4 linked regions of the Canis lupus familiaris genome follow. The protein of the gene in region 3 interacts with the protein of the main gene of each other region in a biochemical or structural test. Links are inferred from orthologs where the notes say so. Each region holds a gene or a part of one and is shown on either strand. Other genes may lie near its edges.

What was found.
Region 1: the proteins of NXF1 (region 3) and ALYREF form a complex in vitro, tested with the Homo sapiens proteins (2 studies listed by BioGRID and IntAct). The link is inferred for Canis lupus familiaris from reciprocal best matches to the Homo sapiens genes NXF1 and ALYREF.
Region 2: the proteins of NXF1 (region 3) and NUP98 form a complex in vitro, tested with the Homo sapiens proteins (5 studies listed by BioGRID and IntAct). The link is inferred for Canis lupus familiaris from reciprocal best matches to the Homo sapiens genes NXF1 and NUP98.
Region 4: the proteins of NXF1 (region 3) and RBM15 form a complex in vitro, tested with the Homo sapiens proteins (2 studies listed by BioGRID). The link is inferred for Canis lupus familiaris from reciprocal best matches to the Homo sapiens genes NXF1 and RBM15.

The regions. Positions count from the first base shown.
Region 1 is NC_049230.1:1,220,851-1,226,970, forward strand, and holds ALYREF (THO complex subunit 4), read left to right. Parts: upstream 1-1,992; 5' UTR 1,993-2,007; coding exon 2,008-2,244; intron 2,245-2,564; coding exon 2,565-2,696; intron 2,697-4,204; coding exon 4,205-4,352; intron 4,353-4,949; coding exon 4,950-5,013; intron 5,014-5,115; coding exon 5,116-5,293; intron 5,294-5,377; coding exon 5,378-5,392; 3' UTR 5,393-5,702; downstream 5,703-6,120. Other genes in the region: ANAPC11 (anaphase-promoting complex subunit 11), read right to left, coding at 756-864. UniProt on the Homo sapiens protein: Functions as an mRNA export adapter; component of the transcription/export (TREX) complex which is thought to couple mRNA transcription, processing and nuclear export, and specifically associates with spliced mRNA and not with unspliced pre-mRNA.
Region 2 is NC_049242.1:26,404,410-26,409,893, reverse strand, and holds part of NUP98 (nuclear pore complex protein Nup98-Nup96), read left to right. Parts: intron 1-2,892; coding exon 2,893-3,009; intron 3,010-3,177; coding exon 3,178-3,476; intron 3,477-5,484. UniProt on the Homo sapiens protein: Plays a role in the nuclear pore complex (NPC) assembly and/or maintenance. NUP98 and NUP96 are involved in the bidirectional transport across the NPC. May anchor NUP153 and TPR to the NPC.
Region 3 is NC_049239.1:54,402,396-54,408,455, forward strand, and holds the start of NXF1 (nuclear RNA export factor 1), read left to right. Parts: upstream 1-1,915; 5' UTR 1,916-2,048; coding exon 2,049-2,076; intron 2,077-3,609; coding exon 3,610-3,793; intron 3,794-4,011; coding exon 4,012-4,165; intron 4,166-5,357; coding exon 5,358-5,441; intron 5,442-5,551; coding exon 5,552-5,656; intron 5,657-5,752; coding exon 5,753-5,833; intron 5,834-5,942; coding exon 5,943-6,012; intron 6,013-6,060.
Region 4 is NC_049227.1:42,107,349-42,113,491, forward strand, and holds the start of RBM15 (RNA-binding protein 15), read right to left. Parts: upstream 3,524-6,143; 5' UTR 3,192-3,523; coding exon 329-3,191; intron 1-328. UniProt on the Homo sapiens protein: RNA-binding protein that acts as a key regulator of N6-methyladenosine (m6A) methylation of RNAs, thereby regulating different processes, such as hematopoietic cell homeostasis, alternative splicing of mRNAs and X chromosome inactivation mediated by Xist RNA.

The sequences.
Region 1 (6,120 bases), on a different chromosome or scaffold from region 3:
ACTTAAAAATACACTCAAGCAAAAATAAAAAAAGAAAATACACTCAAGCATTTCTACTTCACCAGAACGTGATGGGACAGAGGTGAGACAAAAACCACCAGAGAGGTCTGATAAAACCTGGCGGTGGGCACTCTGTGGCGTGACACAACCACTTTGCTGAAAGGTCAGATGCCTTGAAAAACGAGGGAGAGGAATGGAAGCGCCTGTTCTATATTCACGTTCAACAGCCAGGGCAGGGCTGAGCGAGCACACGCACGGACACCTGAGACAACGTGAGCAAGCACCAGGAATGGGGGGACACTGAGGGCTTATCGTCACGTCCGGTGTGACAGTGCTACACTTAGTGACTGGGCTGGAGGGGAGCCGGGCCCCAGAAGCCACTTCCAAGCCAGGACGTGAACACAGCCCTTAGCAGCGCTTAGCAGCGACGGTGGGCGCTGGCCGAGGGGACGGGCACCCCCACGACAGCCTGCGTGCCCGCTGGAGAATCGTCCCGTGGCGCTCCAGCGTCCCCCGGCCCACGGGCGTCACGGCTGACTGTGAGCACAGTAAAAAGCCACACGGCCCTCTCTTACAGAACTTTCCATGGGCTCCTCACACAATCATGGGCCCAAACCACCTGCCTTTCTTCTGTCAGCTTGTGTTGAGCAGAGTGACCCCAAAACCCAAGCACCTTGCGCAGGTGTTTCCGAGGAGATGCCCTGGCCAGGCCCGCAGGCAAAGCTCGAGGGGGAGGGAGCACAGGGCACACTCACAGTCTGGGCAGCAGCCATTAAAGGCCATCCGGCAGATGCCACAGTTCTCGTCGTTGGCCACCCAGAGCCAAGTAGCCACGCCGTTCCAGCACTTGATCTTCACCTTCATGGCCGCGGAGCCTACAGGGGGAGGAGACATCGCCGGGCCACACTCAGTCTGCACAGCTACCCATCTAGGCACCCAAGGGGCGCGGCTCCCAGCCGAGGGTCAGCCGGGGCCGGACCTGCTGCCAGAGCTCAGAAACCCTGAGAGCTCTGCACCAGCGGCAATGGCAGGGCCCGGGCCACCCTTGGGAGAACAGCGCGCCCCAGAGCCAGAGTTATCGGCGAAGACTGCAGGGTCCGCCCTGCGTCCCCAAAAGGGCACATGGGCTTCGCCAGTAATTCCAAAAACGTACCATACGGGTTTTTTTCAAAGAGATACGACTAAATCGGGGTTGACAAATAGAGACCCCAACCCAGGTGACCACGAGTTCACGCCAGGGAACCACCACCCAGCCCACTAGGCCTGCGCCACCACCCCAGGGTGAGGGTGCAGAGTGGGGGGTGCCGGGCAGGACCCGGGGTTGCGGGGGAAGGGGTGAGGGCAGGAGCATGCAGAAGGAGTGCGCAGAGGCCAGGAGAAAGTGAGGTGCAGGGAGGGACCAGGGTGTGTGGAGAGTGGGATGTGGGGAAGCGGTGGGGGGGGAAGGGCGGAGCGGAAGGCGCAGGGGTGCGAGCAAAGAGTAGGGGAAGGGGTAGGGGTGTGGGGAGAGGGTGGGGTAAGGAGCGGGGGTGCCTGAAGGGGGTAGGGAAGGCGCCGGGGTGCGGGGAGAGGGCAGGGGAGACGCAGGGGTGCGGAGGGAGGCGCAGGAAGTGGTGGGGGAGGTGCGGGAGCGCGGGGAGGGCGCGAGGCCGGGGCGCGGGGAGGGGGGGGGGAGGGGAGGGGAGCCGCCCGCCCCGCCCCGCGGCCCCGCCCACCTGCGCCCCCCGCCGGCCTCCGCGCGCCGACCCCGCCTTCCGTCGGCGGCGCCCGCGTGGGAAGGTATAAAAGCGGCCGCGGCCGCCGCCGGCACCTCAGCTGCGCCCGCCGAGCCCGCCGTCCGGCGCACGCGCCCCCGCTCCCGCCCGCCCTGCCCGCCCTCGCTCCCGCCCGCCGCGGCCAATCCCCGGCGGCCCCGGCCTCGGTCCCGGCAGGCCGCGCGCGGCCCCGGAAGTGACGCGCCGACGTGCTGACGCGCGGGCTCGAGCCGAGGCCGACTCCGCGCCCGCCATGGCCGACAAAATGGACATGTCTCTGGACGACATCATCAAGCTGAACCGGAGCCAGCGAGGCGGCCGCGGCGGAGGTCGGGGCCGCGGCCGGGCCGGCTCCCAGGGCGGCCGCGGTGGCGGGGCGCAGGCCGCCGCGCGAGTGAGCCGGGGCGGCGGGCCCATCCGGAACCGACCGGCCCTCGCCCGCGGCGCGGCGGGCGGCGGCGGCAGGAACCGGCCGGCGCCCTACAGCAGGGTGAGCGGGGCGGCGGGCCGGCGGGCGGGGGCGCGCGGGGGCGCGGGCGGCGGGCCGGGGGGCTCGGGCCGGGCGGGCGGGGGGGCGCGCGGCGGCCGCCCGGGGCGGCGGAGACCCTCCGGGCCTTTGTCTGGGCCGGGCGCTGGGCCTCGTGGCGGCGGCGGGCGTTGGGCGCGGCCGCGCAGGCGGCGGGAAGCGGGTCGGAGGGAGCGGCGGCGCCCGGGACGCCGGGGGGACGGCGGGCGGGGGCGTGCGGGCGCCGCAGGGTCCGCGGGAGACGCTCACGGGCCGCGTGCTCCTGTGCTCTCCTCCCCCCGCAGCCGAAACAACTTCCCGACAAGTGGCAGCACGATCTCTTCGACAGCGGCTTCGGGGGCGGCGCCGGCGTGGAGACGGGTGGGAAACTGCTGGTGTCCAACCTGGATTTCGGAGTGTCGGACGCGGATATTCAGGTGAGGGGCGGGCGTTCGTCGGTGAGCGGGTCACCCGCACCCGGTGGCCCCGTTGAGGACGCGGCCTGAACCGCCCGCGCCGCACCTTAGGGCGGGGAGCCCTAGGGGCCCAGGGGCAGCCGCCGGCCCTCTAAGGGCTGCAGGAGTGCAGAGCGGAGGTCCTGGCCCGGGAAGTGCGGCCGGCAGGTCGGGGTGTCGGAGGTCGGGCCCGGCCTAGCGGGACGAGCTGCCGCTCTTCCTGAGTCGTGCCCCGCGCGGGGGCGCAAACCCCCTGCCGGAGCCCTCGCTCCTGGCGGGAAACCTCGACCTAACCTGAGCGGTTTCTGTTCCTGCCTCGCTTAGGATCTGCGTTTTGTTTACTTTGTGCTTCTTTTAACGGTTTGCTGGGAGGACAGAGATCTTTTTCTGTGGAAGCCTACGGGCAAAGCACAGACGCAGGACGGCGCTGGGCATGCTTTTGTTCCGCTGGCCTTGAGCCCCCGGCTCCATGTCGTACAGGACCTATATCCTGTCTTTCTTCCCCTCTTTTTAGTGGCATGATTCTCAATCCCGACTTTGGTTGAAGCTTCTTTGTTTTCTTTTTGTTGCTGTTGTTGTTGTTTTGGTTTTTGGGGTCTTTTGGTTTTGTTTTTTTGGGGTGTTTTTGTTCTTTTGGGTTTTTTTGTTTGTTTGGATTCCAAAAGCATATAAACTTGTTTTTTGATTAAGTAAAGACATTTTGGGGATCAGTCCCAGAGATGGCTGGGTCAGGGTGCTGGGCCTTCCTGGGTTCAACTTCCCCAGAGCCCAGCTGTTTGACTACCGTGGGAGGACAGAGCAAGGCCGGTGAGCACTCACGGTGTCTCAACACTTTTTTTAAGGTGGTTTCTGGCATCCACTGGAAACCGCTTTTGGTGAACTCCACTTCCCGCTGTGTGCCTGCGGCCGGAGTAGCCCCACACTCTGGGTTCCCTCTCCAACTCCCAGCCTGCCTGAGGTCAGGGCAGTTTCCATGGCAGCGCTTGACTTCAGCCTTTGCGGCAGGCTTGAGTAGGAGGAGAGGGAAAGGTGAGCCAGAATCTGCCCTGGGGGAGGGGCTGGGTCAGGGCTCCCGAATCGACGGGCCCTGTGAGCTGGTGTCCACATGTCGGATAGCATCCCTTGCTCTGTGATCTTGGCCTTTGCGGTTTCTTGGTACAGTCCTTGGGTGTGTTGTCAGTTTTCCTCTGTTGAAGAAGATAGCGACTTAATCTTGTTCCCTTCACTGGCGGGTTCTGTGGTCCTTTACCTGCATCCTGGTACTGATGTAAGGTCCCCACACTGGCAGGAGCCCTCAGACCCAGCTGCTCCGGGAAGTGGCTGTCCCATCTGCCCCTCCCTCCCCGTGGTTTCCACTACCAGTGCCCTGCCCCAATACGTGTCTGCCTCCCAGGGAAATAACCCCCCCTCAGCAGCTCACCCTCCCAGGGACTGTCCTGGGCCACAGGAAGGGAAGCACCTCACTAACAGCTGCTCTTTCCGGCCCCCAGGAACTCTTTGCTGAATTCGGAACTCTGAAGAAGGCAGCTGTACACTATGACCGCTCCGGGCGCAGTTTAGGAACAGCCGATGTGCACTTTGAACGGAAGGCAGATGCCCTAAAAGCTATGAAACAGTACAACGGCGTCCCTCTGGATGGTGCGTCTGAGGTTGGACCCGGATGCTAGAGGGGCTGCGTCTCGTGGAGTCGGGCTGGCCGCTATCCGTGCAGGAGTATGGCTTACCCCTGTGGCTGAGGACACTTTGCATTCGCCCCTTTGTCTCTCTCTTCCATTCCGCCACCTCTCATGCTGCCCCACACATCCGGACCAACCTCTTGTGAACCCCCATCCAGCAAGCTACACCCTCCCCTCCTTCAGCTCCTTCCGGAAGACTCACTTCTGTGAAGCCTTCTCAGAACCGCCATAGTACACCTCTGAGTGCGGGGCTGTAGTCGTAAAGACAAAGGTACCGGTTCTTCTTCCGTCAGGCCACCCACACCTTTCCACCCATGAGCACCCCGGACACCTGACCAGACACCCAGCTAACTGGACTGAGAAGGAGCGAGGAGGTTTTGGTGGGGTTGTCATTGGCACCATCTCGTTCTCCCACCAGTAGTGCTCGGCCACTCCCCTTGTTGGGAGCATTTGGAGACACAGCCCCTTTCCAGTGCTTGCATGGAGACCGGGGTGTGGTGCCCCTCGGCGCGTTTCGAGCCCTCTAACTGCATGTGTCCTCTTGTATTCTTTGCCACAGGCCGCCCCATGAACATTCAGCTTGTCACGTCACAGATTGACACACAGCGGAGACCCGCGCAGAGGTGAGTTCTGGGGTCTTTGGGACGGTGCTGACCTGTGGTAAGTGGGCGCTCACCCCATGGGCCTTTGAACATCACGTGAGTGAGTCCCCTCTACCTTGGCAGCGTAAACAGAGGTGGGATGACTAGAAACCGTGGCTCTGGAGGTTTCGGTGGTGGCGGCGGCACCAGGAGAGGCACTCGTGGAGGGAGCCGGGGCAGAGGTCGAGGCACTGGCAGGAGTTCGAAGCAGCAGCTTTCTGCAGAGGAGTTGGATGCCCAGCTGGATGCTTATAACGCAAGAGTAAGTCACAGACGAGGGTTGGGGAGGGCAAGAATTGACTGGAAGCGTGAGGGCTCTTGTTGAGCGGAAGTTTCTGTGTTTCAGATGGACACCAGCTAAAGAGACCAGCAGATCCTCAAGTGGAGCAGGACCCAGATGTCTCCTCCGTGCTCCCTGGCGGGAGGGGGCGGTGGACTGGGGGCTGTGCAGCCAATGATGGATTTGTTTCTTTTATGTTTTAAGATAGGATTTAAAAACTCATGTAAAGGTTTTTTTTTTTTTTCTCTCCTTTTTTTCTTTTTTTTTTTTAATTCTGAAGCAGCCCTGTTTTGTACCGAGTTATTTTTGGGATAAATGTTACCGGTTGCCGTTGTGGGGAAGGTGGCGTTTTCACCTTTGCCATAATAAAAGAGACATGTGTGGAACTAGAGTTCTGTGGCTCATCCCCTGTCGCAGTCCTTGCTTGGGCCACAGCTGTGGTGTCGGGGGCTGACGAGCGTGGGGAGCAGTCTCCCCTGGTAGCTGGAGTCTGCTCGGGAGGGAGATGGCTGCTGCTCCGCCAGGCCTGACTCCTTCCTCTCCCACCTGGTGGATGCGCCTACCTAGCTGCCTGTACCAGGAAGTGACAGGGTGGGTTGGGGCGCCCTGTTGTTGCCAGATTCATATGACTGGGTAGGGCTGTTCCTTAGCTTCTGGTGCTCTGGTTCTCAGAAACGTGGATCAGCAGTTACGACTTCATAACAGCATCCTTTCTCGTTTCTCATTTGCGTCAGGCACAAGCCCCAAAGTGTCCTCTTAATCTCATCCCAGGTGAAAGGCTCGGGGCACCTGTGGCAAGAGTCTGGTTG
Region 2 (5,484 bases), on a different chromosome or scaffold from region 3:
GGGAGTCTGCTTCTCCCTTTCTCTCTGTCCACCTGTGCCTACGTGAGTACACACTCTCTGTCTCTCAAATAAATAAATGAAATCTTAAAAAAACAAAAACTTCACTTTTTGAGCTTGAATAATACTCTATTTTATGGATAATACATTTTGTTTATCTATTCATCTGTTGGTGGATGTTTGGATTGTTTCTACCTTTTAGCTACCTGGATAGTGCCATCATGAACATCGATGTACGAGGTTTTTTTTTTTTTTTTTTTTTTTTTTTTTTTTTTTTTTTTTTTTTTTTTTTTTTTTTTTTTTTTTTAAGATTTTATTTATTCATGAGAGACACAGAGGGGGCGGGCAGAGACACAGGCAGAGGGCGAAGCAGGCTCCATATAGGGCCTGATGTGGGACTTGATCCCGGGACTCCAGGATCATGCGCTGGTCTGAAGACAGGCACTAAACCGCTGAACCATCCAGGGATCCCATGATGTACGAGTATCTGTTTGACTCCCTATTTTCAGTTATTTTGGGTATATATCTATGATTAGAATTGTTTGGTCATACATAAATCCTATGTTTAACCTTTGAGGAACTGTCAACTGTTTTCCTGTAACAGTTGCACCATTTTACATTCCCAACAGTAATGCATGTTTCCATGTTCTCCATTTTCTTGTCAGCACCTAGTATTTTTTCTTTTGTTTGCTTATAACAGCCACCCTAGTGGGTGTGAAGTGGTATCTCATGCTTTATGAGATATCTCTTTCTATGAGGTATTTCTTTCCTTTATGACTAATAATGTTGAACATCTTATCATTTGCTTATTGGCCATTTATCTTCTTTGAAGAAATATTTTGTGTCTCTGTGTCTTTTTAAAAATTATTTTATGTCTGTTAATATATTCTCAAAACTGTGGCAATAGAGGTCAAAGATGATACTGACTTTTAAGAGAATTTTTGCTTTTTTATGATAGGTGCTTGATGATAGAATCAAAGCTAAACTTGTGATTTTATGTTTTTTACTTTTAGTTCTCTCTAAACTTGAGGAGTAGAGTTTTTCCAGGTCCCAACACAGAGCAAGTGGCATTCACTAGTGCCCTTAACCTCTTGGTGGCTCTAGGCTCCAGTGTCTGTCTCTCTAGTCCATGAAGACTGTCAAGCATACCATCAACTTCATAACCTTCCTCTTATTTTTTTTTAAAGGTTTTGTGTATTTATTTGAAAAAGAGAAAGTATGAGCGGGGGAAAAGGGCAGATGCAGAAGCAGTCTCCCCACTGAGCAGGGAGTCAGAGGTAGGGCTCAATTCCAGGACCATGGGATCATGACTTGAGCCAAATGCAGACACTTAACCGATGAAGCCACCTAGGCGCCCCTTAACCTTCCTCTTAGAATCAGAAAAGCCCCCAGGAGAAAAGCAACCCTAAATAACAGACATGCCCCTGTGCCAGTGCCCCTTAGTGCTGGCTCAATCTTTTTTTACTATTTTGTTTGCTTTATAGAGAGCTCTGGCTCTCCTAGTTTGAGAGCTCTGGCTCCTCCTAGTCCTAGGAGGATCGGTTTGCATTACCCAGTCCGTCATTGATAGGAAAGCAAGTTTTAATTTTCACAGAAATACTAATTCCTTACTGTCAAGTGCTTATTTCATTGGCTAATTTAATAAATATTACATGATTATAATGAGTATAACTAGCATATGTGTGTTTGTAACAAATGCTACTGATGATTAACCATAACTCAGTTGTTGAGATTAGAAATAAATATACAAGAGTGGTCTACTACTTGTTAATTAACTAATTAATTAATTATTTTAAAAGATGTATCTATTTATTTGAGAGAGAAGGAGCACATGCAGCGGAGAGGGGCAGAGGGAGAGGGAGAGAGAGTCCCAGGCAGACTCCAAGCTGGGTGGAGAGCTTGACACAGGGCTCAATCTCAAGACCTTGATATCAGGACCCAAGCCAAAATCAAAAGTCAGATGCTTAACTGACTTCATCACCCATTGTAGTTTGTTTATGAAAGAAGGATTGGGCACATGAATTAATCCAGGGGGTTTTTAAGTGGAGGTTGAGTAAGATAAGATGATCTCTGTTTCTTCTGTTTGAAGCTTATATACGATAGAGGTTCTTGTCTTAAATAAATCTGCTGTATGCACACCTGAAATTTTAAGGTATTTGCAATTATTTGCATTATTGGCTCTCAGGGTTTTTCGGTCCTGTTTTGGTTTTTTTTTTTTTGTCATCTTTATTATTTTTTTTTAAGATTTTATTTATTTATTCATGAGAGACAGAGAGAGAGAGGCAGAGACACAGGCAGAGGGAGAAGCAGGCTCCATGCAGCGAGCCTGACCTGGGACTAGATCCTGGGTCTCCAGGATCATGCCCTGGGCTGAAGGCAGCGCTAAACCGCTGAGCCACCCGGGCTGCCCCTCTTTTTGTCATCTTTAAAAAGAAATCTTATTTAGTCAGCAAATGTATCCTTCCTATTTTCTTCAAGGCAGCATGTCAGGTTCTGTGAGGAGACAGTCGTGAATCCTTACTGTCAAAAAAGGAAGAAAATGTTTAAAGAGAGAAGACATACACAGAAATAATTGAAATACAAGACATAGTGTGATGGGTTAAATAAGTATTTGGATAAAGTGCTCAGGGTTCAGAGAAGAATGTCCTCAAGGAGATTTCCCACTTTATTTTAAATGTGTTTAGCTTATTCTTTCAAATGCCATAGTATAATATATTTGAGACCTTAGGTTCTGGTTATGTATTAAACATTGTGAATTGACTTGTTAGGTAATTTTTAGATACGTAAGAGCTGAACAAGAATGTTCTTTTTGACTCTAGTTTTTAAGATAATGCTTGTGATGTAATTATGTGTACCTGAAATTTTTTTTTTTCCTCTTTTGGTCTCTATTTATAGGAAGAGCATTAAGAAGTTGGTTTTGAAAAACCTTAACAATAGCAATCTCTTCTCTCCTGTTAATCGTGACTCAGAAGATCTAGCTTCACCATCTGATTATCCGGAAAATGGGGAGAGGTAAACCAAATTTTGTTTCGAGTTGTTTCTGGTAGAGAGCCCTGTTCTCACTTTGAAGGGATTTCGAGCACCTAGAATGGTGCCAATCACTCAGTAAAGATTTAGTGAGGGTTGGCTGTTATCATTGTTATAAAGGACTGAGATACTGTTTCTTTTCTACCTTTTCAGATTCAGCTTCCTGAGCAAACCTGTCGAAGACAACCATCAGCAGGATGGAGATGATGATTCTCTTGTGTCACGTTTTTATACTAACCCTATTGCCAAACCCATTCCTCAAACCCCAGAGAGTGCTGGAAATAAACACAACAGCAGTAGCAGTGTGGATGATACTATTGTTGCATTAAACATGCGTGCTGCTTTGCGAAATGGGCTGGAAGGAAGCAGTGAAGAGACCTCTTTTCATGAGGAGTCACTTCAGGATGACCGAGAAGAAATAGAAAATAATACTTACCATATGCATCCAGCAGGTCAGATTCAGATTGGTACATGGGTAATCTTTTACCAGTCATTTGACACCTCTTATTTGTCACAGATACTCAATTTAGTGGAAGTCAGCTACCAGAGATCTTAAATGATTTTATTATGTTTATAGATGGTAACATTTAAACACTATTCACTTACGCTTTGATTCCTAATTCACATACTTTTTCTGCCTTTGGAGTGGTTAAAATTCATGTCATTAGTTATCCTGGTATAAAGATCCCAAATTTTATAGCCAGAGAGACTATCGTTATACTTTACCTAGCTTTATAAACTCAGATAGATTGCTTATTAGCTTTTTAATTAAAATAATACTGATAATTATCATATAAGGTTTTTGAGGTTTCAATTAGATTAGTATATAAACCATAATGCCTGAAATGTATAGGCATTCAAATGGTATCAGTTGCTCTGGTTAATTATTATTACCTCAGTTCTGTGCTTTGCTTTTTTTCTCCTCAACAGTGAACTGCTTAGTTTTTTTCCCAATGAATCCATGAAACACATAATATAAACTACAAGATTATAGTATGTCGATTGGTCACTTAAAACTTGCATTTTTAAATTTATTCATTCATTCATTCACTCATTCATTCATTCTCAAGTAATCTCTACACCCAGTGTGAGGCCCAAACTTAACCCTGAGATCAAGAGTTACATTTTCCACCACCTGAGCTGGTCAGGCACTTGGCTTGTCTTTTTCTGTGTTGACATATCTTATTTGGGTTTTCATGAATGTAATCACATTCTTTTTTTTTTTTTTTTTTTTAACCAAGATATAATGTATATGTAGTGAAGGACACAGGTCTTAAGTTTATTTCAATGAATTATGAGAGACAGAGAGAGACATAGGCAGAGGGAGAGGCAGGCTCCCTGCAGGGAGACCAATGTGGGACTCGATCCCAAGACCCTAGGATCATGCCCCCAACCAAAGGCAGTCACTCAACCACTGAGCCACCCAGATGTCCTGGTTCATTCTTTCTTATTGCTGAATAATAGTCCATTATAAATGTATGCCATACTTGGTTTATCTAATCTCTGTTAGTGAACATTTGGGTTGTTTTATAGTTACTCTTGAAGTGTCTGAAGTTTTTCTGTAATTATCTTGTTGCCTTCATATATATCTTCTGGCCACTTAGTGCCCTAAGGGAACAAATTTATATTTTCATGTTAAGAATCCAAGTATCTATATTTGTGTGTGTGTATCTACACAAATTTATTATGATACTACATCTATTTTCAAATACCCAGTCTAAATTTTTTTATTGTTCTTAGTTTTCTCATTGACCTTATTTGTCACTTTTCAATTTAAAATTCCATTGCCAGGGTGCCTGGGTGGCTTAGCTGGTTAAGCATCCAACTATTGATTTCAGATCAGGTCATGATCTCAGGGTCATAGGATTGAGCCCCGAGTTAGGTTCTGTGTTCAATGGGGAGTCTGCTTGGGATTCTGTCTCTCCCTTTGCCCTTCTTACACTCATACTTTCTTTCTTTCTCTAAAATAAATAAATCTTTAAAAAAACAAAAAAGAAAGATGAGTTTGGAGTTACAGCTTTGCCTCTATCACTGAATTACTTTGTAATCAAGGCAGGTTCTTTCCATGTTGGGTTTTGTATAGAATAAAAGAAAAATGCATTAAATAAGCCTTTCCTCAGAATACATTTTATGGAATGCCTTTCGTAATGAAGTATGTTAACGAGTGCTGTATGAAAAGAAGGTTCTGGGCAGCCCCAGTGGCTCATTGGTTTAGCGCCACCTTCAGCCCAGGGCAGGATCCTGGAGACCTGGGATCGAGTCCCACGTTGCGTTCCCTGCATGGAGCCTGCTTCTCCCTCTACCTGTGTCTCTGCCTTTCTCTCTCTCTCTTTGTATGTCTCTCATGAATAAATAAATAACATTTAAAAGAAAAAAAAAAGGTTCTGTGGTTAAGTTTGGATTAAGATTTGATTATTCGACTTAATTATTTTGCAAGTTCTTAGAGCCTGTGACATACAA
Region 3 (6,060 bases):
TGGGAGGAAGGCCCTGTTTCCCTGGGACTGCTGAGAATGGCCAATGCCCCTGACCCTTTGACTCTGGCCACCCTGTCCTCCCCTCACCACCCTCAGGCCCTCGAAACACACACAGTTCTGGATGTGTACTCTGCTGTGAAGTGGCTGGAAGGGAGCAGAGGCCAACTAGGGGCTGGTAGGGGAGGTTGTCTCCACTAGGTAGGAGATTTTTAGAAACTCCCCAACCTCTTCCAAAGGAAACTTTGGCAGCAAGGGGAGATGATGCCCTTCCCCTTCCTGAGAGTGAGGAAAGGAAGTGAAACTGCCCCCGGGACCAACTTTCCCATCTGGGTTAGAATTTGACCTCTCTCTTCTTCCTCTCTCCACTACGTGAGGCAGGGGGCCCTGAGCCCCTCAGCTGCCTGCACAACCCCACCTTTGGCTGCTGGTGACTCTCAATCTGCCAAATGCGCTGCAGCCCATTTTCTCCCAATTACAGCAAGACTGTCAGCCTCATTAGCCATGTTGTCATTTCTGGGTGGGAGCGTCGAGGGCCTTCACAGCCTGTGGAGTGAGTGTGCTGCCTAGTACCAGAACTGCAAAGCTGGGCTGATGGCTCTGAGGGCCGAGCTTTGGGGTGGGTGCACACAGCTGCCTCTGGGCTGGGAACAACCAAGTGCAGCAGCGTTTCATTAGCATGGAAACGTCAGAGGGGGAAGCACTACCCCAGAATGGGTCCCTGATTGGTGCCAACTTCCAGGATCATCTCCAGTAGTACTTGTACCTGTTTCAGCTGCATCCTCTACCCAGCTGGCCCCCATTTTTCCTTGAACTGGATGACGCAGGAGCTCTGCCTGCTGCCGGGAGTGAAAGGTGAAGAACTGGTTTCCCAGCTCCAGCTGAGGCTCTTGGTCCACTCCAAGCCTCTCACCAAATCCAAGCCAGTGACAGGAGAATGAAGGAGAAACCTGCCTGCAACACCCACCCTCCAGGGAGATTAATACACTTCTGGGCCAGGAGCCACAACCACATCATTCTGAGATTACTGCGGTCCCCCCACATCTCACACACCCTAAAGGAATTTCAAGTTACAGAGAACCACCAGCATACTGAGAGCTGACCCTAGAACTTTGGCAGGCTGGAGAGGGGAAAAGGAAGGAGAACGTATGTCTTTTCTAGGCCAGCATTTTACTATTTCCTCTCTCCCTGGCCTCTGTTCAGCTGGTGGTCTCAGTTGCATCTCCACTGCCCAGCTGACAGTGAATGTATTTCCGGCACAGCACTTCAGGGGTGGGTGGGGAGGTTGTGAAGACAATTGCTTGCCAAAGCTGGATAAACGCACACTGTCAATTGACTTCTTGGAAGGATGCATAGGTTGGAAGTTCATTTATATCACAAGTGTTTGTGGAGTTATTGGCACATGCCAGGCCGAGTTCCTGAGCCAGGAGCTGGAGAAAAAAGGATGAATTAGTCAAGGTCCTTGCTCTCTCGGGGTTGACATTCTAGTTTTCTGTTGCCCGGCAATCTATAGACAAGAAAGGGTATCTATCCGGCGCTGGCAGAGGCCGGGCTGAGACTTCAGTACTGGCTGTGTGCGGCTAGGGCTCCGTGAACGGCCACTGACCACCCCGCTCCGGGAGAGTCGGGTCGCCCGCTGCTCGGAAGCCCTTCGTGTGCGGCCCCCTCCCGTGTTCCTCCCGGAGTCCCGGGCTGCGGCAGCCTGCTCTCGGCTCCGGCGCTCGCCCCGGAGGTGCTGGCGGAGCGACGGAACGGAGGGGGCAGGCGGCGGGGCGGGCCGACGCGGGGCGGGCTGGACGAGCGCGGGTCTCGGCAGGCCCGGGAGAGGCCGAGCCCCGCCCCCGGCGCGGCTGTGGCCCGGTGCGCACGCGCAGCGGCCGCGCTCCCCGGCGGCTCCGCCCACCACCGCGGACGTCGGCGGCGCGCGACGTAGTTCGCAGCATAAATGCGGCGGCGCCGGCGGTAGGAGCGCTTCGGCCCGGGCGCCCGGGTGTTCGCGCGTTCGGCGGAGTTCGGCCCGCGCCTGAGCCGGCCTCGCTTCTCGCTGCGCCATGGCGGACGAGGGGAAGGCCTACAACGGTCAGTGCTGGTCGTCAGGCGGGGGCGAGGCGATCGGGGGCCCGGTGGGCGGCGCCGGTGTAGGCCGCAGCCCCGCGGCGGGAGGGGCGGGAGGCGCGGGAGGCGCGGGAGGCGCGGGAGGGGCGGCGGCGCGGGAGGGGCGGGGGCGAGGCCGAGGCCGCCTGCGGGTCGGGCCGCACTCGAGCGGGGCGCCGGCCGTGTTGACGCGGGAATCGTGGCGTTGCGCGGAGCTTCGGCCCGGGGCTGCGGCCTGGCCGGGGGGGGGCGATTCCTTTGAACTTTGTGGGTGGTGATGCCTGTCAGTTGGATTTGGCGCCCGGACTCTGCCTTTAATAGGAGTCCGTGCCCGGCTCATCGGCTCCCTGTGTCGTTTCCCACCGCGTCCGGTCTCTTGTCCCGCGTCCCCTGCGGCCTTGGCTTTGGCTTTAGTATTCTAGACTTCCACACCGGTTCGCTGTGCTCGCCCGAACACTACGCACGGTTTTAGTCCGGAGGAGTGGTGAGGAGGAGCACATGACAGCCGGGTTGAGTCCTGAGTCGTCTTCCCCGAGCTTGAGGGAATTCCACTCCCAGGCCTCATTTTCTATCTCCGTAGGAGGTGGTGACCGTACTTACTTCCTGGGTTTGCCCTCCTGTTCAACGAGATCATTCGTATCAAGTGCCCGGGGCATAGTGCCTGGCACTGAAGAAAGTTCTCAGTGAATGTTTGCTGCGCCTTATATTCAGTTGTGGTGTTTTGTTTTGTTTTTTGCCCTCCCCCCCGCCCCCCGTCATTTCTTAAGGTTCATTGTTTGCAGAACACTAGGCATGAGGCGTTTGGGGAGTCAGGGACCTTTTTGTAAGATGCTATTCTTACACCCCAGGATTCAGAGGGTCATGTTCCAGGGGAGCAGTCCAGGACCCTTGGCTAAGCTCCCTAGTTGCCACTAGAACCTGAATCTTAGGAGTTGTCTCCTAAGTTAAAAAAGCATTTTTTGCCAAGGAAATAAACAGCTCATTCCCAAAAGTTCAGAGTGGCAGTTTGAGAACAAGAATTTTAAAGAAGCCCTTAATTTTATTTGTAACTGACGCTTGTACTCTGCGCAAGGGAAGCTTTGTTTACTGAGAGCTGATGTGATCGTCGTGATTGGTTGATTTAGGAGATGTTGAGCGAGGTCACCATCCAAGTTTTGAGAAGGCTTAAATAGATTTGGGAAACTAAGAGCAAGCAGATTTCAGGTGACTTTTCAGGGGTCTAGTTCCACACTGGGTCCATATTCTACTCACACTTCCACATTGTGCCTTTCCCGGTCTGTAAGTTCCAGTTCCTGAGTCCTTTTTCTAAAGCCCTGCCCTGTCTTCCAGTGATGTTTCGCTCCTGCTGCCATGCCACAGAGAGGGTTCTCCTCTCAACAGACAGAAGTTTGCATGGAGGTGGGCTCTGTAGTTGGTGTGTATCTCATTTGATAGCACAGGCTGCTTGCTACTGTGATTCCCACAGCAGGGTAGCTGGGCTGACAGCATGTTTCTAATGGATGTCCTTTTTAACCCCAGAGCATGATGACCGTGTTAGTTTCCCTCAAAGAAGAAAGAAAGGCCGGGGTCCTTTCCGGTGGAAGTATGGCGAGGGGAACCGGAGGTCTGGAAGAGGAGGTTCTGGCATTCGGTCTTCCCGCCTGGAGGAAGATGACAGAGATGTGGCAATGAGTGATGCCCAGGATGTTCCCCGAATACGACAGTAAGCGACCAATTGATCTGGTTTGAGAGCTCAAACCAGATTTATTTATATAGCTTTCTGCTGCCCACACCATTTCCCTTCTCACCTGGAAAAGTGAGGGATGTCAGGGCCAGTTTAATGGTTAAATAGTTTTAGCTATAATCCTGACAACAGTGTGGGAAGCCTTTGAGAAGACATTCCTAGTGTTTGCGGACATTTTATTCTCTGCTTCCCCACAGCAACCCCTATCCTCCCCGACCCAACCGTCGAGGTGACAGTTGGCATGATCGAGATCGCATTCATGTTACTGTGCGGAGAGACAGAATTCTTCCAGAGAGAGGAGGGGCTGGCACCAGCCAGGATGGGACCTCGAAGAACTGGTTTAAGATTACAGTGAGTGTCTGGGGTGCCTGGGTGGCTCAGTCAGTTTAGTGTCTGTCCTACACTTGATTTCATCTCAGGTCATGATCTCAAGGTCATGAGATCAAGCCCCACGTCACCTCTGTGCTGGGCATGGAGCCAGCTTGAGATTCCTATTCTTTCTCTTCCTCCCTCCTCCTCTCCCATTCCCTCTCCCCTCCCCCCTCCCCCTAAAAAGAGATTACACTGAGTGTCTGGGGAAGTAGATGGTGCAAGGGAGATAGGGGGCTGGGCTCAGCGTGTAGGTCTTTACTTTTCACACAACAAAATCAATCTTCACTGTTTTCTCCACAGTCGGGTGTCCAGCCTTTCTCCTAGAACACCTAAGAGCAGGTTCAGAAAAGGAGTTAGAGGGGGGATAAGCAGGATGAGGGGGATGGGGACACCATCTAAAGGGAAATGTGGGGGGCAGCCTGGGTGGCCCAGCGGTTTAGCGCCGCCTTCAGCCCAGGGTGTGATCCTGGAGACCCGGGATCGAGTCCCACGTCGGCTTCCCTGCATGGAGCCTGCTTCTCCCTCTGCCTGTGTCTCTAATAAATAAGTAAAATATTATAAATAAGTAAATAAATAAATAAGTAAATAAATAAATGGAAATGTGCTAACTGGTTGGGAGGTGGAGTAACCCATCCAAATGTCTCTATCTGGCTCAAGCCCAGTATGGGGCTTGGGGTCCCTTAAGTTCTCTGAGGGGTGGGCCAGGTCTAAATCATATCTAAGAACTTTTAGAACCAAATAGTTTGGGGAACCTGGGTGGCTCAGTCGGTTAAGCATCTGCCTTCATCTCAGGTCATGATCCAAGGGTCTTCGGATCAAACCCCAGCAGGGAGCCTGCTTCTCCCTCTCACTCTGCCTGCCCCTCCCCCTGATTGAGCGCGCGCGCTCTCTCTCTCTCTCTCTCTCTCTCTCTGTGTTAAATAAATAAATAAATGAAATCTTAAATTTAAAAAAGGAACCACATAGTTCTATTTTCTTGAAAAATACTAAGTTTAAATGGGCAGAAAGGAAGGTAAGGAATCTGTGTCTGACTTGAGTAAAAAAAAAAAAAACTTTTAACTGGCCCTTCCTTTAGGAAATGTCATAGAAGTTGGCAGAAGGTGTGAAAGGAGCACTAGGTTGAGTCTGTTGGTCAGCCTTTATTACATGATATTCCTTCTCTCTCATCTAGATTCCCTATGGGAGAAAATATGACAAGTCATGGCTCCTGAGTGTGATTCAGAGCAAGTGCAGTGTCCCTTTCACCCCCATTGAGGTGAGATAAGGCCCAGGTGGCTGACTGGGCACCAAGGAAGGTGAGGGGCCAGCTGGACCAGGGGCCCCAGGCTCCCAGTCTCATGCTCTTGTTTCTTCCTCTTTGTGCAGTTTCACTATGAAAACACACGGGCCCAGTTTTTTGTGGAGGATGCCAGTACCGCCTCTGCATTGAAAGCTGTCAACTATAAGATTTTGGATCAGGAAAACCGAAGGGTGTGTGTAAAGGGCCTGGCTTGGCTGGAGTTGGGTCGTGGTCCTGTGGCTTAGGCTTTCCCAGAATTCACCTTGCTCTCTGTGTCTTCCCTGCAGATATCTATCATCATCAACTCCTCTGTCCCACCCCATTCTGTACAGAACGAACTGAAGCCAGAACAAGTAGAGCAACTAAAGGTGAGGCAGGCTCACGTCATGTGTCTCCTCTCTAGTTCCACCAGTTCTCACATCCACAACCCCTCTGCACAACCCGAGTGACCGCTGACCCCTTTTCCTTCTCCTGTAGCTGATCATGAGCAAACGATACGATGGTTCCCAACAAGCACTTGACCTCAAGGGTCTCCGTTCAGACCCAGGTATGACTAGCAGCGGTCATTCTCAGAGAGGTGGAGGCAGAGGGGGGT
Region 4 (6,143 bases), on a different chromosome or scaffold from region 3:
AGGATTTTTTTTAAGCTCAAGGTTAAGGGGGGGGAAAAAAAACACAACAAGAAAAAGAAGGGGAAAAGAAGTTACTAAGAGTAGGAACTCCTAATTAAAATAAATCCATCTGCCTGCTACCTTCAGGGCATCCCTTTCACTTAATAGCTAAACTGTCCTGTCTTCTATTTCAAAGGTTTATAAAAATATAAAAAAAAGAAAAAAAGCTTCAACTAAACAAACTAACTCAAAAGAAAATTTCATCTGATGCTGTATCCCATTACACATCACAAAACAGGAACCATGTCAAAGTAGTAAATACAAGTTATACATGGACTTTAGGACGCACCACGGACAATGATCATGACCAGGTAATCTTCTTCAGATTTGGCCAGTGCCTTGGCAGGGGAATCCAGGAACTGCTGGGAGAACTCACAGGGTGGGAAAGCATGTAGGACCCCGGTGTTTTCCTTGTCTTTGTTGCCCCCCACGGGAAGGCTTATCACCCCAGCGGCCTGCTTTTGCTTTAAATAGGACACAAGGTTCCTAAGTGGCCTCTGAGTAGAGGTGGCAGTGTCTGATGTGGCTGAGGAAGAGGAGGACCTGCTGTCAGAACTTCCAGGCACAGCCAGGAGAATGGCATAACCATTGGGACCTGCCACTTTGATGCGTCGAGTTACTTCATCCAACTTGGGCTGGTCCAAACGAAGACGCTGAGTGATCTTGAGCTGGGCTACTTTGCCTCCAGTTGAGCCCTCCACAAGAAGACTACTAGCCACTTGGAGGTCACCCTGCAACAGATGCATGTTGGAAGGAAAGTTGCTGTTCTTCAATAGAAGCATGCCCTGCCAGGCCAAACAGAGCTTGGGAGAGGCTGCAGTGGTGGGGGCTGTCCCACCATCCTGTTTCTGGGAAGGGGACTTCAGCTTTGAGGAAGCAGTGCTGGTGCTAGGCGCACTCCCATCAGACCGGTCTTCTTTTTTCAGAGGGCTTTTTCCCTCAGTGGGAGCAGTTGTCCGGTGCTTTCTATCCCGTTCAGCTGATGCAGAGTTTTTACGGTCTCGCTTGTCACCCTGGCTCTTCTCCAAACTTCCTCGCCTGTCTCTGACTGGAGAGGGCCTTTCCAAGATAAGAAGACGAGAAGATCGATCATTGTCACTGTTGTAGCGATCCCGGCTACTGCTCAATTCCGGGCTGCGGTCGGGAGAAGGAGCACAGTGACGTTTTCGGGGACGGTCACTCTCAGGGGACCTATCCAGGTGCCGGCCCCCACTCTCCTCGGGCGGCCTTCGCTTCCTAGGCTGGTCTCTGCTGCTGGGCAGATCTCGCTCACCTCTGTCCCGGTCCAAGGACCAGCCATCTCGCCTGCGATCCAGGCTATCCAGGGGCTCGTAAGCAGGCACAGCAGCAGCTGCAGTCCTAGTGCTGCGTTCACGAACTGGGGGCGGGGGTGGCACCCAGTCAGAGTCAGGATAAAGGTCTCTGTCACGATCTCTGTAGAGTAAGGGTGGTGTCCTATCCCGAGCACCCCTCAAAGGGTCAGGTGCCCGATGTCCAAAAGCATCTGTCACCAACTCGTAATGAGTTAAGGGCAAAGGCTGCAGATACTGCTGCTGGTAACGATGTTCTGTATCTGCAAAGTCTACTCTAAGGCGACGATCTGGGCCACCAAGTGGGAAGCCACGCATATGGGTCCAGGCAGCATGAGCTGCATCCAGGCTTTCATACTGGATATATGCCCAACTATCACCTTTGCGGTAGTCTATAGTGCGGATGGTGCCAAATCGGTCAAACTCTCGTGCCAGGGCAGCAAGAGGCACCCAAGGTCCCAGACCACCTACCCAGAGGCGAGTGGTGGGTGTAGCTTTACCATAACCAATTTTGATAGGATTCCGAATAATGATCTTGCCAGACATTGCTAGTTTGGCCCGGTGAGACATGTCTAGGTTCTCAAATTTAAGGAAGCCATAGGTACTGGTCTGGCCCCGAGAGGGCCTCTTGATATCTACCTCTGTGATGACTCCAAAGCGGTCAAAAGCCCTTCTTAGGTCACTCTCTGTCACAGTGATGTCTAGGTTGCCCAAGAAAAGCGTCCGGTTAGCTCGCTGATCGTCCTCGGGTGAGATCTCATCCACTTCTCGGAAAGGAGCAGCACCTGCTCCAGCTCCCACCCTGGGCTCCAGGCTGTACGCCGGGCGCACTCTCTCATAGAACGGATAGTCTCGCTCTCTCTCCAGCTCACGGGGCAACGGTGGCGGAGGCGGGGGGGGCAGGCGGCCAAGAGCCAGCTGCTGCAACCGGTAGTCTCGGTACCCCAGGGCCGCGCCACCAGGGGAAAGCGATCTCTGGCCGCCGCCTCCAGGGGGGTGCCGGTGTCCGCCCACGGAGGCGCCCACCACGCCAGCCGACGGCGGGTAGGGATCCTTGTCTAAGGGGGAGCGGCTGCGGCGGCGGCTCACGTACACCGCCTCGATCTTCAGCGGCCGGTCATAGAGCACCAGGCGGCCTCTGGCATGCTTGGCCGCCCGCGCGTCCTCTGGCCGCCGGAAGTTCACAAAGGCTACTCGCTCATCCCCGCTGCCAGAGCCCGAGAGATGACTGATTTTGACACTTACATCACCGAAGCGCTTGAACTCGTGAAACAGTCCGTCCTCCACCGCCTCGTCACTCAGCTGGGACCCCAACTCGCTGATCTTCAGCGTCTTGTACTCCGCGCCGTCCCCAACGCCGGGAGCTGAGGAGGCGGCCCCGGAGGAACGTGACTCCCCGCCTCCACCCCGGGAGCTGCTGCGCGACTCGCCCCCGCCCGAGGAATTTTTGGTGCTCGGGGAGCTGTAACTGTGCAGGCGGCCACTGGAGCTGCCCCCGCCGGTGTCATACTCGCGGCTGCCGCCTCGGCTGCTGGACTTGTCCAGGTGGAGGCTGCGCCGCGACCCGCCGCCGCTGTCGGTCTTTCCGCTGCTACTCCCATTGCTGCCACCAGAGCCCCCTAACTTCTTGCTCCGCTCCCCGCGGGAAGTCGAGTCCTCACCACCGCGGGAGCGTTTGGGCTTGACCGGAGAGCGCTCCTTCCCCTTCATTGTTGCGGGTCGCCGGAGGTCGTCTCCGCGGAGATGCTGAGCCCGCCGCCCCGCGCTCGTTTCACACAGCGGAACCGCACGCCGCCATCTTGGACTCCGCCGCGGCAGAGGCTCCCGCCCCGCGGCCCTCATTGGTCAGCTGGCTCCTCTCTGCTACAGGCTCATTGGGAAAACGTCCCGTCCGTCTTCACATCTCCCCGCGCTCCGGAAAGGCGCCCGCCCGCCCGCTGTTATTGGGCTCCCAACGCCCGGGTCCGAGTACCTCATTGGTCGTATTTGTTGTCCATCTTAACGGCTCCTCGCGCCAGGCCGCAGCTCCGCCCCTCGCACTGTAGGGTCACCTGACCCAAACTCGGGAGGCGCTGATTGGGCGAAAAGTCTGCCCTGTAACGGTACTTCTGGCGCGGTAAAAGCGGTGATCCCACCTCCTCATTCCTTTCATTGGTTTCCGACCCCGTCCTTTAACTCACTATTTGGGAAGTCGGGCCATCTGTTCTGGCGCTTTTCCTGAGAGGCCCGCTTACAACATTCTCGCGAGAGACAGAAAGCGCTCCCTTTCTCGACCTCTTCTTCCAACTCCTCGGACGGCTGTAAGAAGTTTAAATCTGATTGGATGCTGACGAGGGAGTTGATAGGCTGAAATAGCTGTCCGTCATCCGCTTAAAGGGGCAGGCCGTACACGGAGGAGGCTGACTGAAGGTGAAAGAGCGGACCGCGCGCTCGCCGTGCGGCGTCACCGGGACGTCGCGAGAGGCTGACACGGCGCTGGCTCCGCCCCCGGCCGCTCGCGGCGTTCCGTCCACGGGCATTTACGGGGCACTTATGGGGTCCCGCGGCGTCCGTGGGTGTGCCTGGGCCGCCCGCTCGGGGCCTGTGCGGGGACCGAGCCCTCGGGGCGCGGTCCCCAGGAGGCCGGCCGCGGCAGCCGGAGAGCGCCGCAGGCCGTGGGGCTCGCCCGGGCCGGCCTCCTGGGCGCTCCCCGCCGCCCGGCGACGTCGGTCGGTTCGCTCTTCCTACGTCGCGCCCCGTCACCGGGCGAGGGCCGACGTCCGCGTGCAGCCGTGGGCGTGCGCCCCGCGGCTCCTCGCGCCGCCTCGCCGACCCCCCGGGGCCCGCCCGTCGTGAGGTGAGTCCGGCAGCCGGAGCAGGTGCTCGGGCGTCGGGGGAGGGGGGGAGGGGGGGCCAGGAAGCCCGGGCCGGCCCTCCCCGCCGCCTACCCGCCTACCCCGAGGCCCTTCTCGGGGGACACGGCTGTTGCCCGAACCCGAGCTTGGGAGCCGCGTCAGGGCCGGGGCTGCAGAGTCCGGCTCTGCCTTCGCCCCCCTTCCCCGCATGACGTCGAGGGAAGCGATAGGGATTTCGCTTCTTGCTCGGATGGAGGAAGCCTGGTGTGAGGACGTCGCGGCAGCGGGCGCACGCTCCCCCGCGTGCCAGGACCAGCTGCCAAAGCCCGCGAGTGGGCCAGGGTGTGGGACGTACTGCCGCGGGGGGTTCTCCACGGGACATGGCGGCGGCGCTGCCTGTGTTTTTGTTGATTTTTCCATAGAAACTTCACGGCGGTACTTAGGGAGTGGCCACTAAGATCGCCCTGAGACGGGGCTGGACGGTCTGGCGGGAGACTCAGCTTGTCATTGCATGTCATTCTAGCATTTCTTCTATTAAAAGGAAACTTGTTTTACCACGTGTATGTTATTACCATCTCGTTTTCTTAAAATAGCAATTATTTTTAGATTCCTTTAAACTACTTTTATAGAAAAAAATAAAAAAGTAGAATACTGGGGGATCCCTGGGTGGCGCAGCGGTTTGGCGCCTGCCTTTGGCCCAGGGCGCGATCCTGGAGACCCGGGATCGAATCCCACGTCGGGCTCCCGGTGCGTGGAGCCTGCTTCTCCCTCTGCCTGTGTCTCTGCCTCTCTCTCTCTCTCTCTCTCTGTGACTATCATAAATAAATAAAAATTAAAAAAAATAGAATACTGGGCCGCCTGGGGGGCTCAGTGGTTGAGCAACTAACTACCCTTCGGCCCAGGGCGTGACCCCGGGGCCCGGGATCGAGTCCCGCGTGGGGCTTCCGGCGTGGAGCCTGCTTCTCCCTCTGCCTGGGTCTCTGCCTCCCTCTCTGTGTCTCTCATGAATAAATAACTTTTTAAAAATCTTTAAAAAAAAAAAAAAGAATATAAAGGTCTCCCATGTACCCAACACCCCATTTCAACAATTAGCAACCCATGTCAATCTTGTTTAGCATACATTCTCTTCCCACTCTTCCCCCTCGTTATTTTGTTCCAGGCTTATCTGGTACATTTCCTGCCCCAGACATGAAATTAGCCATTTCTCCAAGGAGATCTGATTCCTTTTAGGGAGAAATGATATTTAAAGATAAAAATTTATATGTTAGGGAGTAAAGACAACAACAGCCAACATATTATTTGTAAAAGCACAAGACAAAAAGCTTTACATGGTTAGGGGATTTTAATCTCTTTCAAGGTTATATTAAATACAACACAAAATTGAAGTTAAGTTCTTATCTGATTATTTAATATAATAGCCAATCCAAATAAACCAGGCTCCAGAGTGACTATTTTTGCCTTAAATTGACCTGCATAGGTGACTGAATGATCAAAGATGCCCAAATCAGTATAGTTTATCCAACATAACAGGGATTGAAGGAGCATACGAGTTGAGGGAGAGAACTCAAGGAGTTGGTACCAGTATGTGTGGCAGTGCCCGAGGCTCTGCTAGGCTTAGTGGCCTGGCGTTTGCAATACCAGGGAGCTGGATGGAAGCTACTGCAGTTGGCAGCCTCCAGAAAGCTTGCCTAAGGGGGACTGCTGGCCTGTCTGCTGTCCAAAGGACTGGTAAGTTGAATTGGTAGACGAAAAGGCCTGGATTCTGGAACCAAAATATAACTTTGCTGTGTGTATATATGTGTATATGTCCACAACAGAATTAGATAATTAGACGTAATATGGCCATGCTGTAGTCAAAATAAGTGTTTTCATTTCCTTTATGTTCTTTAAAGTATGAAGGTGATTAGTGAGGTCCTATCAGCCTATGTTTGTACTTGTGCTTTAGAGCTGAAAGAGGTTA